Linked DNA regions of Macaca mulatta. Each later gene encodes a partner of the first gene's protein in a complex. Links are inferred from orthologs where the notes say so. Each region holds a gene or a part of one and is shown in the gene's direction. Other genes may lie near its edges.

What was found.
Region 2: the proteins of EEF1G (region 1) and EEF1B2 are in contact, whole or in part, in a crystal structure (PDB 5DQS), measured with the Homo sapiens proteins. The link is inferred for Macaca mulatta from reciprocal best matches to the Homo sapiens genes EEF1G and EEF1B2. Residues at the interface, in NP_001395.1 of Homo sapiens: Leu146, Lys147, Thr148, Arg149, Thr150, Phe151, Glu155, Arg156, Pro185, Asn186, Arg189, Leu192, Thr193, Asn196, Gln197, Pro198; in NP_001032752.1 of Homo sapiens: Ala20, Asp21, Lys22, Ser23, Tyr24, Tyr28, Val29, Cys50, His51, Arg54, Asn57, His58, Ser61, Tyr62, Glu65.

What each region holds. Positions count from the first base shown.
Region 1 is NC_133419.1:11,492,546-11,496,455, forward strand, and holds the start of EEF1G (elongation factor 1-gamma), read left to right. Parts: upstream 1-1,417; 5' UTR 1,418-1,426; coding exon 1,427-1,438; intron 1,439-2,498; coding exon 2,499-2,657; intron 2,658-3,355; coding exon 3,356-3,419; intron 3,420-3,570; coding exon 3,571-3,713; intron 3,714-3,910. Other genes in the region: TUT1 (speckle targeted PIP5K1A-regulated poly(A) polymerase), read left to right, coding at 1-177. UniProt on the Homo sapiens protein: Probably plays a role in anchoring the complex to other cellular components.
Region 2 is NC_133417.1:111,411,790-111,415,699, forward strand, and holds the start of EEF1B2 (elongation factor 1-beta), read left to right. Parts: upstream 1-1,632; 5' UTR 1,633-1,957; coding exon 1,958-2,037; intron 2,038-2,557; coding exon 2,558-2,680; intron 2,681-3,316; coding exon 3,317-3,443; intron 3,444-3,846; exon of another isoform or gene 3,847-3,910. UniProt on the Homo sapiens protein: Catalytic subunit of the guanine nucleotide exchange factor (GEF) (eEF1B subcomplex) of the eukaryotic elongation factor 1 complex (eEF1).

The sequences.
Region 1 (3,910 bases):
CTGAGTGGTGGCGAAGAGAGGCCAGAAACTGAGCCCCTGCTGAGCTTTGTGGCGTCTGTCTCCCTGGCTGACCGAATGCTCACTGTGACCCCGCTCCAGGATCGCCAAGGCCTGTTCCCTGATCTCCATCATTTCTTACAGGTTTTCCTCCCTCAAGCACTTAAACATCTGAAGTGAAGACATGGCCCCTAAAGGGCAATAAAGCTGCTAGTTTATTAATACAGAGTCTCCCGTTTCCTTTCATTTCCATCTGGTCATAATGCTTCGCCTCCCCCAGAACTTCATGAAGCTGCTCTCCTCTGACCCCGAACATGGGTCTCTCCCTACTGCTCTCCACCCCAGCAGCCTCTCCTTCCTACAGTTCGCACAGCTTGCGGGGAGTGCGGGGGCAGCACCGTGCGTGGCACCTGGCACCCGCGCAGAGTTCCTGAATGGCAGAGCGGTGGGTGGCTGGAACAGTACTGAGAAGAGCCAGGTTTGCCTCCACATTCTTCCTGCCGCCTCAGATTAATGGGGACAAAGATGGAGATTTGCGTTCAGGGTTCTTCATTCTCTCCTTTAAACGAGGAGAGTTCATCCCGTTCTTAAACTGGGTAAGAGATTTCAAACCTGAACATGAGTCAAAAGCCATGAATATCAGAAGCGACGATGTCGGGTCTTCCAGCGTCAGCCCCTCCAGGGGCCGAGTCCGGAGGAGGCGGGAGGGACAGGGCGCGTTCTCCCTCGTGTCCCTGCCCTGCTTCGGGCCGGAGGGCCGGTGTCCTTGCTCGCAGTAACAGCACCCTGGAGCTGTAAGGGGTTAGATGTGAGCAAACGTCACTTTGGCAGGCGGGTTCAGACCGGGGCCCCTGTTAGACACTCATCCCTTTCTGGAGGAAAAGCAGAGCAGGAACTAAAGGATATAGCACACACACTGCCACCTCCGCGCAGCAGTCGTTCCTCGCTCCCATGAGTTTCACAGAATCATGTGAGGGGCTTGGCAGAACCTACCATCGAGTCACTCGTCCCTGGGTGGGCCAGAGGGGGACGCCCCCAGCAGCCTGACGGCGCCAGGCCAGCAGCGGCGCCACGTAGCCGAGAACCGGCGGCTTTTCCAGCGGGTTCTCACAGCTTCCCCGCCCTCCACGCTGTCTACCTCCACGTCTAGACTCCAATTGGTCCGCTGCACCTGAGGGGCGGGCCAGTCAAGATCTCCAATGCGCAGGCGCGAGCTTTTTCCGCGCTGGCCAGCAGGCCCCACCCACTCCGTTCTTTTTCCAATTCGGCGCCACTGGATACCGAACTGTCGTACGTATGTCTTCTGTGTCGTCCTCGCTTTCCGGCTGCTGTTTCTCCACGGCTCTCCCCTTTCCCCCTCCTTTCTCTCCTGGGCGGCTTACTTTGCGGCAGCGGGGAGAACCCCACCCCCTTTCTTTGCGGAATCACCATGGCGGCTGGGGTAAGTTTGCCGGCGCTGGTGGTTCGGGTCATCCTATCCACCGCCATCCTTTGCCCGAGTGGGGCCAGTCGGCGCCAGAGGAGTTCTGAGGCTGAATGGGGAACTGATTCTGGGTCTACAGACCGTACTGCTGGAGAGCAGGGTTCCTACGGCCTGGAGGGGAACTGAGGCTGGGGCTCTCGGAGGCCAGAGGTGGAAGGGTCTGGGGAAGAGGAGAAAAGGGATGCCGAATCTGGGCCGTCCGAAGCCTGAAAAAGGGGTTCGGCTCTATTGCCGCCTTGAGGCGTAGTATCTGGGTAGGTTGACGAACTTCTGTGACCGTTTTGTGGAGTAACAGCGGGGACAGGGTGAAGAGCGGGTCTTTGTAGGCAGGTCCGGCTGGCACGGTTAAAGGTAGTCTGTCAGGGAGGTTTGGGAGCGAGAGGATTCTCCGGACAGTGAAGTCAGACCAATTGGAGTCCGCTGGCCAGCTTAATAGAGAAGGCAACGCTGGGGAACTTGCTGCGGGACAGGACCGGAGGGATGGTATGCGCGACACGGAAAGAAAGGCTTTTGAGGGAGAGGAGTTGATTTAAGAAGACGGCATGCCATCCCCTATCTCTGGCCACTCTGAGAGGAACTAGAAATCTCTCGATCGTTGTGCGTTCCTTAGAGCAGCTGAGCAGTAGAGTAGGCAGGCGCTCGGAACCATCAATGAATGAAACGAGGGCTCCGTGAAGGGAAGGGAGTATGTTTGTAGGCAGATGGAGTCTGATGGAGCTAGAAGTTCTGGATTTCTTGGGAGATAGATTTGAGGGAAAGAGAATGCTTCTAGAGGTGTCCTTAGGGAAGGTCAAATCTGTCAACAAGCTTTATTTAGCAGTTGGTGTGTAGTTCTGTTCTTGGTATTTCGGAGGATTCTGATTACATATGACAAGTGTTAAAGGACTTGGTTCACCAGAGGAAGTAAAAGGGTGAGTTGAACACATTGGGATTATTCAGGCAAGTCATCCTGGGGAGTGGCATTTAGGACTGGGACCCTAATGCTCTTATTAATTTTGTTCCTCTCTTTCTTTCATAGACCCTGTATACGTATCCTGAAAACTGGAGGGCCTTCAAGGCTCTCATCGCTGCACAATACAGCGGGGCTCAGGTCCGCGTGCTCTCCGCACCACCCCACTTCCATTTTGGCCAAACCAACCGCACCCCTGAATTTCTCCGCAAATTTCCTGCCGGCAAGGTGAGTTGGGAGATGGGGAGTGTCCTTCGGTTCTGAGAAACGAAGGCCTGGGATTCTATCATTCTGGAGATGGCCCCCATCTCTAAAAGAGAGCTTCCCATGTTATTTTCTTCAATATTTCAGTGATTTTATTTTGAGATAAATGCAGATTCACATGTAGTTGTAAAAAAAAAAAAAGTACAGAGCTATTCTGTGACTTTATACATTCACGAGTTTACTTTGTGGGAAAGAGAATGAGTTTTGACTAAGCATTTTCAGTGCAAATGTATCAGATTGTCTGTTATGGGCAGGATTCTTACCCCAAGGGGTTTACAGAGATAGGTGAAAAAACATGCTAAGAATGGAGGAGATGAAGTACTATGTGGATCTGGGTCACACACTAATACTTGCACTGATACATTGATACAGGAGTTACTTTTGGTCTTCTGCTTGTTTGATCCAGAGATTTCATACAAATATCTTGTAATATTCAAATCTATTGTGCTTCCTAGTTAACATTGTGAATTCAGATTGCAAAGGATGCCCAGCTCTTGAAGTATTTATTTATGGTTCTTGAGTATCAGATAGTATGGAGAGTTTGGATAGTGAGGATCGTCAGTCTTACATAAGTATTTTTATCCAAAGCAGTTTGGCTTCTGGTATTGGGTAGGGAGAAATTTTGTGTGTTTTACCTTATCTTTTCACTGCTTTGTCCCCAGGTTCCAGCATTTGAGGGTGACGATGGATTCTGTGTGTTTGAGAGCAACGCCATTGCCTACTATGGTAATTTGCAGGGGTATATGGGAATGGGAGAATTTGGAGGTGAGGGTGTACAAGAGGGTGTGAGCGGGGATGGATATGAAGGAATTCTTCAGGACCTGGACTGGTGTTGGCATTCCCCCAGAGTTCTGACCTTTGTGTTCTGCCTCTGCAGTGAGCAATGAGGAGCTGCGGGGAAGTACTCCAGAGGCAGCAGCCCAGGTGGTGCAGTGGGTGAGCTTTGCTGATTCCGACATAGTGCCCCCAGCCAGTACCTGGGTATTCCCCACCTTGGGCATCATGCACCACAACAAACAGGTGAGCCTTGGAACTTTGGGAGAAGCCAGGGGCAGGGGTGGCCTTAGCTCCTGGGTGTTGGGAGTAAGAAATAAAATAGGTTGAAAAAAAGGTGCCAAGGATATATAGGCAATGAGAAGACGTACTTTCTGGGGTACAAGTTTGAAGTAGTGGGCAGTTGATGGAGGAAGTGTCTGTCATGAGTGGTCACAAGAGGG
Region 2 (3,910 bases), on another chromosome or scaffold:
GAAATACAGATTTGCAACACTTCGATATGTACTTTGAACAATGATATACCAAGTAGCAATAGAAATAATTATATCTTTAGATGGAAAAATGTTAATGACTAAAATGTCATTTCTAAAAGTAGACTGGATACTTTTCCGTATAGGGACTATACTATTCCACGTTCTCCAACATGGATTCATCCATCTACTTTCTGCCTTCCAAGGTACCACCCTATCCCAATCCACCATCACTCCTTGCCTGGAGTATTTCAATATCTTCTTAACAGGTCACCAGGCTTCCACACTATTCCCACACAGCCCCTCCCCTCTTGACACTGGCAGTGACCTCGGACTGAAATGTTCTTCCCTGGCCCCTCCTTATCCTTCAAATCTTGGCTTCGAAGCCTTTTCTCAGTTTCATTGACCAGCCTATCTAACATTTCCTGACGATTCCCCAGAATATCACCCATTTTATTCTTCTTTACGGACTCATTTCTGGCTCGTAGTAAACGTTCAGTAACTGTTAAGTGAACTGAATCTCTAATTTCTGGTCGTTAATTTGTAGGGACCACTTTCCCGGATTTAAAAAGTGCAGGTGCTCTGGCAGCGTTAAGTCGGTGAAAACAAGACTATTCCGCAAAACAAAAATAACCTGTTTATTCATCAAAAAGTTATTGTTACACTTCTATACTGTCAATTCGTGTGTGAAGTTGTGTCTGATCCAAGACCTCACAGTACAAGCATAGATCCCAATAACTTGTAAACAATATTTTGTTATTCGCAATGCAACCCTGAGCTAACTTTTCAAAAAGTCATTTTTCTCAATTTCCCGTTAGTGAAAGGAATTTAAAAATTCTGTCCAACGTGGTCAATGGACAAAACAAATAAGGACAACAGAAGCGTGAGCCACTGCTAACACAACAGCGACCAAACAATCATGTACTGTACCAGGCGTGTAAAAATCTGGGGGAAAAGGCTCAGTCTTAAGGCTTAAGTCATCGGACACTGGTCCTCTACCGGGGAATAAAACGGCCTCCTCTGAGAGGGGAATGTCCTGAATTTTCCCTGCAGAGGGAAGGTCACCTACAAGCCCGCATTCGGGCCAGCGCTCCCGAGGGCCCCCTAATCCTCATCTTCCTTTCTGCTCCATCAGACCAGAGACCGTGGCTAAAAGCCCCACTTGCCGGCTCTCAGAGGCTTCCGAGGCGGCGGGGCGGGAGGCGGCTCCCAGTCAAGGACAAGAGAAGACTAAGTCGCGTGGGCCAAAGGAAACAGTCCCGTCAATAAATAAGCCTCTGACCCATGCACCTCACCCTTCCCATCCATACAAGACCTCACCTTCTCCCCGGAGCCGCGGAGGCTGTTCTGCTAAACTGTCTGGACCACAACTACCCCCTTGGAGGCCGGGTCGCTTACTCAATATGGCGGCCTCAGCTAACTCTGTCAGCCGGGCCTGGAGAACGGAAAGCCCGGAGGGACTAGAATCCTTGCATTCGATAAGTTTGTCGGCAATTTCCGTCAGCCGACCAGAGGGCGGAGCTGAGGTCGGCCCAGCCCGGAGGCGGGAAGGACAACTTGGACCCGCAGTTCCGCCGGAAGTGGCCGGCAGCCTCGAGGCCGAGCGTCTTCGGTCATCTCCGGCGCTTCTAGGGGCGGTTCCCGTCATCTTCGGGAGCCGTGGAGGTATGAACTTAAGACATGCCCATTTTATTAATTTATTTCCAAACGCAACGAAAGATCCAGGGACAATTTGTGAGCCGTTTAATTCAGGGCCCCCAATTCGTACGTGGAGAAGTGGGAATGCTAACGTACTTTGACCTTTAACCTTCGGTCCGGCGTGGTGGAGGGAAACGCCTCCGTCTCTATATAAGGAATTTTCCGGCTTCTCCGGGCCCTTTTTCCTCTCTTAAGCGCGGGGAGCCCACAACTTGTGCGCTCTCTTTCTGCTGTTTCCCAGCTCTCGGATACAGCCGACACCATGGGTTTCGGAGACCTGAAAAGCCCCGCCGGCCTCCAGGTGCTCAACGATTACCTGGCGGACAAGAGCTACATCGAGGGGTGAGCGGACCGGCTGAGTCGGGGTGGTGGAGGGGTTTCTGGGACCGGGGCCGGGGCCACGTGGCGCAGCGTGTCGGCTGCCGCTGGAGGGAGGGAGACGGGGCCCCAGGGCCCTTTCGAGGATGACGGGAAAGCGCCCCGTGGCCATCTCCCAAGGCCCTCGTGTGGTGCGAGCCCGGCCTCCGGGGAGCGGCTCACGAGCAAAGGAAGGTTAAAATGTGCTTTATTTACACTTAATTCAGCCAGGTGTTTCCACATCGCTGCCCAGTTAATACATGTTAGGTTGTAGATAGAGCAACGTTAGAGATTGCAGTATTTGAGGTCTGCAGACATTTCTCAGGATAGCGCGGTGACCCAAACATATGGTTTGATTTTAAGGAGATAATAAGAAAAGAAAAGCATTAAAGCAACCCTACTGGAGTTAGTGCCCACTAATTAATGTGATGCATAGGCACTGATTATTTATTCGCTGGCGTTTGTTTTTCAAAGGTGTGTGTGAATGTCTCTGTGTCATTGGCAGGTATGTGCCATCACAAGCAGATGTGGCAGTATTTGAAGCCGTGTCCGGGCCACCGCCTGCTGACTTGTGTCATGCCCTACGTTGGTATAATCACATCAAGTCCTACGAAAAGGAAAAGGCCAGGTAAAATCATCTTTGTATCTAGCTGAAGAATAAGACTACTCTCGAAGCTTTATCAGGATGTTCACATGACAAAACTAGACCCAGGCTACTTTAGTTTTGTTGGGGTATTGTAAGCTAAATTTTTCTGTAACCTGAGAAGGCCAAGAGACTGAAGCCCTCCATTTTTTCACAGAACAGGTAGAACATGGACAGCAGCAATTCAACTTTTCCCCACACTGCCCTGCCAATGTGCCTCGACCTTGACCTGGGGGGCCCACCTCTGGGGTGAGAGGGTGGCTCATTCATTCAGTCCTTGGCCATTCTTCTGAAACTGCCAACAAGGGTGGAAGTTTGGGGAAGTGGACTCCAGTTCACTAAGAATGGAACTGAGCATACTTAATGAAATCTCAAACAGAAATGTTCATACTGAAAGAGTAAATCATAGTGAGTATTGAAAATAATGTCTCACATGGTACTAATGCTTGTCGGGTGAGGAGTTGAACATATGATAGTGTTTACCTGGGAGCATGTGAAAGGGTAAATTATTATTGCAAAAGGGATCTAGTGATAAGTAGTGATTAAAACAAGTTATTTTGTATTGTCTGGAAAAGTATGTTATACTAGCTCAATAGTGGTTGAATTTAAATGTTTTTCAAGCCTGCCAGGAGTGAAGAAAGCTTTGGGCAAGTATGGTCCTGCTGATGTGGAAGACACTACAGGAAGTGGAGCTACAGATAGTAAAGATGATGATGATATTGATCTCTTTGGATCTGATGATGAGGAGGTATGGCATCTTCTATAAAGAATATATCGGCCAGACACGGTGGCTCACGCCTGTAATCCCAGCATGTTGGGAGGCTGAGGCGGGTGAATCACGAGGTCAGGAGTTCAAGACCAGCCTGACCAAGATGGTGAAACCCTGTCTGTTCTAAAAATTTAAAAAAATGTGGCGGGTGTCTGTAATCCCAGCTACTCAGGAGGCTAAGGCAGAGAATTGCTTGAACCTGGGAGGCGGAGATTGCAGTAAGCCGAGATCATGCCACTGCACTCCAGCCTGGGCGACAGAGCAAGACTCCGTCTCAAAAAAAAAAAAGAATACATCGATCAGCAATTTTATCAATGTGGTTAAGCCAAATTGCCTGGATTTGAATCCTGGCTTTAACTTATATGCCTTTTTCAAATTCTGACTGGTTGCATGATGAATAAAATCAAATCACCATCTTTCGGCTGAGTTCGTGATGGATTTGCTTT